Linked DNA regions of Tribolium castaneum. Each later gene encodes a partner of the first gene's protein in a complex. Links are inferred from orthologs where the notes say so. Each region holds a gene or a part of one and is shown on either strand. Other genes may lie near its edges.

Region 1 (4,204 bases):
TTTTTTTGGTAATTCAATTTAATGCAATAACGTAAAAAATATGGCACAAAGTTAAGTGCACGTTATAGAGCATATTAAACTGTTTTTCACTATAATGTTGAACATTTTATCAGGTTTTTACAATTTATTGTTCACTCTTTTTTAGAATTTTTCAGATCTCCCGAGAATTCAAAAAAAATTGTCAGTTGCTCTATTTTGACAAAATTTAATCTAAAATCGTCAAACAAAATTAAAGTTAGTTGAAAACTACTCGTCCTAGAGCATTTTAACTTGTTTTTACGATAAAATTCACCTTTAAAAATGCAAAAATTTGTTTATTTCTTTTAATTCAAGACAGTCTTTTGCTTTCTTTTTTAAAATTTAATCTAAAATTATATAGGATTTACCTGATTTTTTATATAAATTGAAGTGAAAGAAATAACAACTTAACAGGAAAAAATCATACTTTTTTAATTAATATTTTTGGAAGCAATTTAACATGTTTTTAAAAATTTATGGATTATTTTTGATTTTTTTTTCAAACTCAACACTGTTTTTTTGTTTTATTTTATTATTTACATATTCTAATTAATTATTTGATTAAATCCAACATGTCTGATTTTTTTATTTAATTTGTTGTGACGTAAGAATTAACATTTGTATTTACTACTAATGCAACTTTTTTAATAAATTTTGAAAAAAAAAACCACTCGTCGTAGAGCAGTTTAACCTGTTTTTTACGATCTAACGTTTAGGATGATTTTTTTTTCAAATTGAAGTTTGTTTTTCGATTTATTTAGTCAAAATTTATATTAAAATTGCTAAAAGTTTTTTAGTTCAATGATGTTTAAAATCTTAAAAAAACATTATTACTGTTACTTAATTTAATAAAGTTAAGGCAGGTTTATAGAAAGTTTCTTTAAATTTTAATTAGTTGTTAAAACTTAACAACGCGATTAAACCAATCAAATTAGTTCAATTTGGTCACGTGATCAGTTAATCACGCATTTAATTGTAGATTAAATTAATAAAGAACATCTCTTGCAACAATCTTTTGAAAATGATCGAATTTCTTCAAACCTCAATTAAACCAAAATTAATCTGAACCACAACAATAATGACCAGAATGTAATCTGAGTATTTCATTAAACAACCTTTCGACCCTAAACCCAATCAAGTTAATAACGTAATAACTAAAACAATTTCCCGTCCCTTCCTTTTTATATTTTTTGTCATCAAGTTTGAAATTTTTGCAATTTTTCGGTGCTCATAATTAAGACCCGGCGTCGCGACGCCACAAATCACGAAAACAAACGTCCGGAACGCGTGTCTATTCGAAATAATTTATCGATCGGATGTGACGTCACGCGCGCCGGCCGTCGCGACGCGAGCAACAGGCTGTGATATCAACAGTTGTCGCGTTGGCAGGCGTCGCGACGGACGTCGACGGCCACTCTCAAGCAACGACCAACGTGATTTATTTCACCCTTTTTGTCCATGGTAAACAATGGTCGATTGTGGAGCCAACGATGCTACCAACAGATTTGTTTGTCCCAATGATCGGCAATTGGCGCTTCGAGCCAAGTGAGTAAACTAAACGGAGGGAATTGTTTGTTTTTTCGTGTTTGTTGTGATGGTAATTGGGGATTGTTAAAGGATGACGGATGTTTTATTGATTTAATGCTTCCACTTTTCTAGCTAGGATAATAGAGCTCGGGGCTCTTTGATGACTGCGAAAATTGGGCAAAATATTTTTTAAAAAGCCAACTTTTCGGAGCAAATAATTAAAACACGGTTTTATTCCTTTTAGCTAATTAAAATTTCGCCCACAAACTGACAAATATTTGTCAGTTTCATCTCACTGTGAGTGAAACAAAATCATTATTTTTATAATTAATTTTTATTAACTTAGCTTAAGTTTAAGATTTAAAAAAGATACAAAATCACGAAATTCCTAGCGAAATTCGCTCTAAAATAATAATTTTGGAGGGGTTTTCGTTAAAATGTGCATATAGTAAAACCTCTCAACAACGGACACAGGTAGGGAATTTTTAATTGTCCGTTTTAGAGAGGTTTTGTTACTTTTCTACAAAAATGTCCGTTGTGAAGAGGTGTCCGTTATTCGGAGATGTCCACTAAGAGAGAATTTATTGTGATTATTATTTTGCAAGATTTTGCTAAAAACAAACCCAAATATCACCAATTTACTAATTTTTACCATTGTTTTGCAAAATTTCGTGAAAAACTACCCAAAAAATAATGTCAAAAAGATCGAAAATGACGTTGTTAATTATTGAAAATTATCAGAAAAAAAACACTAAAATCTAAGCTGAAAATAAGTTATTTTGGTGCAATCTTTAGAAAAATTGTTTCTTTTGTTAAGTTTTACAAAAATTAACTCAAAAAACAGCAAAAACGTTCAACATTTTTCCACTCTAAAAGATAAATATTTTAAAAAATTCGTCTAAAATCAGCTCAAAAATTACGAAACTTGGTTAAAAATGACACTTATCTTTTCTTTTTCATGTATTTTCGTTCGGTTTTTAGCTAAAAATTCACTTTTGTCGGAGATTCTGTCAAAAATAATCGCAAAAATTACTTTTTTTAGAAATTTTTTTCAGACAAAAACACTATTATTTCGCGTATTTTAGCAAAAATAACTCCAATAATCACTAAACCAAATTTTATTCCTTTTATCTAATTAAAATTCCGCCCACAAACTGACAAATATTTGTCAGTTTCATCTCACTGTGAGTGAAACAAAATCATTATTTTTATAATTAATTTTTATTAACTTAGCTAAGTTTAAGATTTAAAAAAGATACAAAATCACGAAATTCCTAGCGAAATTCGCTCTAAAATAATAATTTTGGAGGGGTTTTCGTTAAAATATGCATATAGTAAAACTTCTCAACAACGGACACAGGTAGGGAATTTTTAATTGTCCGTTTTAGAGAGGTGTCCTTTAATTGGAGGTGAGAAATTTTAATATAGGTTTTGTTACTTTCCTACAAAAATGTCCGTTGTGAAGAGGTGTCCGTTATTCGGAGATGTCCACTAAGAGAGAATTTATTGTGATTGTTATTTTGCAAGATTTTGCTAAAAACAAACCCAAATATTACCAATTTACTAATTTTTATCATTGTTTTGCAAAACTTCGTAAAAAACTACCCAAAAAATAATGCCAAAAAGGCATTGTTCATTATTGAAAATTATCAGGAAAAACACTAAAATCTAACCAGAAAATAACAACTTATTTTAGTGATATCTTTAAAAAAAATTTTTTTTTGTAAAGTTTTAGAAAAATTAACTCAAAAACACCAAAAATGTCCAACATTTTTCCACTCTGAAACGTAAATATTTTACAAAATTCGTCTAAAATCAGCTCAAAAATTACAAAACTTGGTTAAAAATGACACTTATCTGTTCTTTTTCATGTATTTTCGTTAGTTTTTTAGCTAAAAATTCATTTTTGTCGGAGATTTTGTCAAAAATAACCGCAAAAATTACTTTTTTTTGGTATTTTTTTCAGACAAAAACACTATTATTTCGCGTGTTTTAGCAAAAATAACTCCAATAATCACTAAACCAAATTTTATTCCTTTTATCTAATTAAAATTCCGCCCACAAACGGACAAATATTTGTCAGTTTCATCTCACTGTGAGTGAAACAAAATCATTAATTTTTTTAATTAATTTTTATTAACTTAGCTAAGTTTAAGATTTAAAATAGATACAAAATCACGAAATTCCTAGCGAAATTCGCTCTAAAATAATAATTTTGGAGTGGTTTTCGTTAAAATATGCATATAGTAAAACCTCTCAACAACGGACACAGGTAGGGAATTTTTAATTGTCCGTTTTAGAGAGGTTTTGTTACTTTTCTACAAAAATGTCCGTTGTGAAGAGGTGTCCGTTATTCGGAGATGTCCACTAAGAGAGAATTTATTGTGATTATTATTTTGCAAGATTTTGCTAAAAACAAACCCAAATATCACCAATTTACTAATTTTTACCATTGTTTTGCAAAATTTCGTGAAAAACTACCCAAAAAATAATGTCAAAAAGATCGAAAATGACGTTGTTAATTATTGAAAATTATCAGAAAAAAAACACTAAAATCTAAGCTGAAAATAAGTTATTTTGGTGCAATCTTTAGAAAAATTGTTTTTTTTGTTAAGTTTTACAAAAATTAACTCAAGAAACAGCAAAAACGTTCAACATT
Region 2 (4,066 bases), on another chromosome or scaffold:
GTAACCGTAGACCAAAACTTTGATAGCTTACTGACCCCCAAAGACCACCCGTCCCGCTTGAAAAGCGACTGTTATTACCTAAACCGGGACTATTTATTGCGGGCGCATATGACGGCCCACCAGTCGGAGCTGATGAGGGCCGGTTTGAACAACTTTCTAATGATTGGAGACGTCTACAGACGGGACGAAATCGACAGAACGCACTACCCGGTCTTCCACCAGGTGGACGCAGTTCGTCTGAAGACACGAGACGAGTTGTTCCCCAAAGAGCAAAGCTTGGAGATTTTTGAGGTGGGCAACAACACCCAGAGCACCGGAACCCAGCAGAAACAGGCGTGTCACACTCTGGAAGCGGTCAAGTTGATGGAACACGAACTGAAAACGACTCTGGCAGGCCTTGCCAAGGAGCTGTTTGGGGAGACAATTGAGTACAGGTGGATTGATACATATTTTCCGTTCACTCAACCGTCATGGGAGCTGGAGGTGTTTCACGAGAACAACTGGTTAGAACTGCTGGGATGTGGGATAATGAGACAGCCCATTTTAACCAACTCTGGCATTGTGGACAGGATTGGCTGGGCGTTCGGGATCGGGCTTGAAAGGGTCGCAATGTGTTTGTATAAAATACCCGATATTCGGCTCTTCTGGTCCAAAGACACTGGGTTTTTAAACCAGTTTAAAGTAAAATATGACGAAGACGTTACTTATAGACAAATCAGTCAATATCCACAATGTATCAACGATCTCAGTTTTTGGCTACCACAAGATAGGGAATTTTCGAGTAATGATTTCTACGACTTGGCCAGAAACATTGGAGGTGATACAATTGAACAAGTAGTTTTAGTGGACGAATTCACGCATCCAAAACTTGGGAAAACGAGTCACTGTTACCGCATTATCTACCGGCATATGGAAAAAACTCTGGTCCAGGCCGATGTCAATGTAATTCACAGCGAAATCGCCAAAGTTGCAGCCTCCACATTGGGAGTCCAGATTAGATAATGTCACAGTTAATCCCTATTTAATTAAGCAGCATATTGTTGCTCAAATAATTGTAAAATATTGCGAAATAAAGATTACATTTTAGGCAAGTGTTGGTTTTTATTTTACCCAAAAACGAGGGAGAAATACTATGAAATTTGTATTTCCCTCCATAGTGGTATTGGATCATGTGCAGAAGCGCTAAGTTCCTCCGCATCTCCCTTCCTGCTCCACTCAGTTGGCTGTTGTCATTCAAATGCGATAACCCTTTGACAGTTGTCCTGTCAAGGTGTTATGTGAAATAAAATTCCCAGTGTTGTTTATTACTGCTGAATTAGCCCAAGAATCGTTTAGGAACCCCCTAGTGCGTGTTACTCCCAGCCTAGCGTAAGTAGCAACGTTTCTCTCATGTAACGCACCATCAGGCATTTCCGTCCGGGCGCCGTGTCTTGTTCGAAGCGGGTGTCATAGGATGCTTTGGTGATTCATTTTTGCAAAAAAGATGATGTCATGAGATGCAAATATCGCAAATTTGGCTATTTTTGAAAATTCGAGAACGCGCCCGTCTTGGTTCCCTTAACGCGATTATTGATTTTCTCGGGTCAAACAATGTAGAGTACAGTCCCAAGCAAAAAAGATTGTGCGTCGTCTGGTTTTTGTCAGTTCTGTCATTCTTGATCGTAGAAAATGCCGGCACCTGCACCAGTCGCCGAAAATGGGGCCCCCCGAACCGAGCTGCAGGAGCTCCAGCTCCGGGCTGGGCAAGTCACCGATGAGGTAACACCTGGCGTAATTATGCACCACCTGATTAACATATTCAATCATTTGCAGTCTCTGGAGAGCACCCGGCGCATGTTGGCACTGTGTGAAGAGGTAAATATCCGCCCCCTTGCTGTACCCACCCAGATCCATACCGATAATCTTAATAATTCTCTCTAGGTGACTTATCCCTAATGTAATTTCGTGATAAATGAACCGAGTTGGGGTGTCAGGATCTTGTTTATTTTTAGTTGACTTTCGTAAAACTCATCCCTTCTTTGCTCTAAGTGTTGCAATTACCATACAATGATGGCATAGTTTGATCAGTGAGATAAGAGTAAATTGTTTGGTAATTGTTTTGGTGTATCTCTGTGCTGCATGTCTTGCACTGTCTTTTCTGTCCTCTGATTCGACTCAACCGGTGCAGAGCAGGACTACCGTGGGGCGAGCTCTGCTGAAGAATGCGGCGGGGTTTCGGGGACGGTTGCGGTGTGCTTACATGGACTCGATGTTGTGGTAGCGGTAGCCCTGCAAGTGTGCCTGTGTTTGTGCTGTGTTATTACGTGTACAGATATGAGAAATACCCACACGCACTTTTGCACACACACACTCGCAGACTACAGTTGAATATTTGATTCCCGACCACCGCCACCTCAAACACCGGCTCCAGAAAAATGATCATACAGAGATCTATTAAAACAACTAAACTGAAAAGGGCTTCTACACTTCGTTTCTGTTTTATTGCTGGCTTTGTAGTTTTTTCGAAATTTATATCGTAATGCAAATTAGTGTTCATAGCGTTTTTCTCGTAATAATTCATAATATTCAACCTTGCTAACCGATAGTCATCTTTTCGTAACTACTTATTGGTGTTTTGTTTTGTCTGTCAGTAAACTTGTTAGATCCGTTCATGTTTAATTATTTTTTATGGATATGGCTGTTTTTATTAATATTTCGTGTAAAGATTTGGAGATTACTTTTTATGCTTATATCTAATATTCTGAAGTCTTTAACCGTTTCATTATGGATATTGAAGAACAAACATAATCATGAGAAGCCGTGATGGGAACATTTTGTTATATTCACGTGCAGTTACATTAAGATTTTGTTTAATTAAACCCGTTTTTAAGTGTTTATTTTTGTTTCAGTGAGAAAAAAAATCATTGCAAAAAACATCTATTGAATTGTTAATCTTGTGTAAACGTTTATAACGTAAAAACTTTAATATTTTAACTGTAGTTAAAATCCGGTTAGAAAGAACTAATCCAGCTCTCAGTTCTCTGGAATGCTTTAAAATAGCCATTTCAGATTTTGCATTTTTAATACGTTAAGAATTACTTCCGCCAAATTATTAAAAAAAAAATCAAATATTAATTAGGAGAAATCGCTCGTATGCGCTGATTGTTACAATTTTACGGTTTAAACAGACCTGAAATCGAAAATACTTTATGCTGTTGTTGGTAATTTCTATGAACTTTATTAGGGTGTAGTAATACATTAATTTTCTAGCTTAGTTTACTTGAAAAAAATCATAATTTGTTTGTTCTTTAAAAAAAAAAATGTAATTTTGAAAATGCAAAATTGAAATTACTATTTAAAAACGTTCTTCAGATGTGAGAAAATAAACAAGTTTCGTTTTTTTCTATGCCAGTTCTGTTATTTCTTATTTTAGTATCATCTTATCGCATTCTGTATAATTTTTTTATCGTTTTTGTGGAAATGAAAATGACTGAAGATTTGAACTGGTTTTTGAGAAACTCGGCTTTTTGGCTATTGTCAAATGTCTACAATCAGTTTCTCTTTAGAAGAAAACTGAAAAGTATGTGGTGCCTATTGATCTTAAATTCGTTGGTCACTTTCCTGTTCTAAAATTAAAAATAAAAAAAAAATTCGCCTACATTCGCACCCTAAAAAAACCTAAAGAAGCGGAAAAAGTGTAATTTTGTTGGACAGTACAACAGAAATGAATTGTAGAAGTTTTGCGTGTTCATTTAATTTTTTTATTTTATGGTTATACAGTAAGGTGATCCTGTTGAAACCCTCATGTGTCGCGACTCGCGCGCCTCTATCATAGCTTATCGTACATCCTCCTCCAGCTTGCCGGGCTACCCATTCCACTCGCTCTCTAACTTCCTCTCTATAAATCTCTTCTCTATCTCTTCGAACTGAACAAATAATATACTGAGTGCTTATCTGTAGCGGGCGTGTACCACTTAACATCTATACTAACAAACAGTGTACACTTGTTTTGTGCTGCTGTAGAGCAAGGAGGCTGGAATCCGAACCTTGGTCGCTCTTGATGACCAGGGAGGTGAGTCTCTCTCCA

The links. Proteins that work in one complex are often made in the same cells at the same time.
Region 2: the proteins of Rph (region 1) and synaptosomal-associated protein 25 are in contact, whole or in part, in a crystal structure (PDB 5LOW), measured with the Rattus norvegicus proteins. The link is inferred for Tribolium castaneum from reciprocal best matches to the Homo sapiens genes RPH3A and SNAP25. Residues at the interface, in NP_598202.2 of Rattus norvegicus: His617, Ser618, Ala621, Ile648, Ser649, Ala650, Lys651, Gly652, Leu655, Tyr659, Leu662, Lys663, Lys665; in NP_112253.1 of Rattus norvegicus: Glu38, Asp41, Ile44, Arg45, Leu47, Val48, Met49, Asp51, Glu52, Glu55.

The regions. Positions count from the first base shown.
Region 1 is NC_087401.1:13,292,593-13,296,796, reverse strand, and holds the start of Rph (rabphilin-3A), read left to right. Parts: upstream 1-1,378; 5' UTR 1,379-1,486; coding exon 1,487-1,563; intron 1,564-4,204. UniProt on the Homo sapiens protein: Plays an essential role in docking and fusion steps of regulated exocytosis.
Region 2 is NC_087396.1:11,301,276-11,305,341, forward strand, and holds the start of synaptosomal-associated protein 25, read left to right. Parts: upstream 1-1,210; 5' UTR 1,211-1,368; intron 1,369-1,665; 5' UTR 1,666-1,668; coding exon of another isoform or gene 1,669-1,696; coding exon 1,697-1,758; intron 1,759-1,812; coding exon 1,813-1,854; intron 1,855-4,002; coding exon of another isoform or gene 4,003-4,051; intron 4,052-4,066. Other genes in the region: PheRS-m (probable phenylalanine--tRNA ligase, mitochondrial), read left to right, coding at 1-1,002.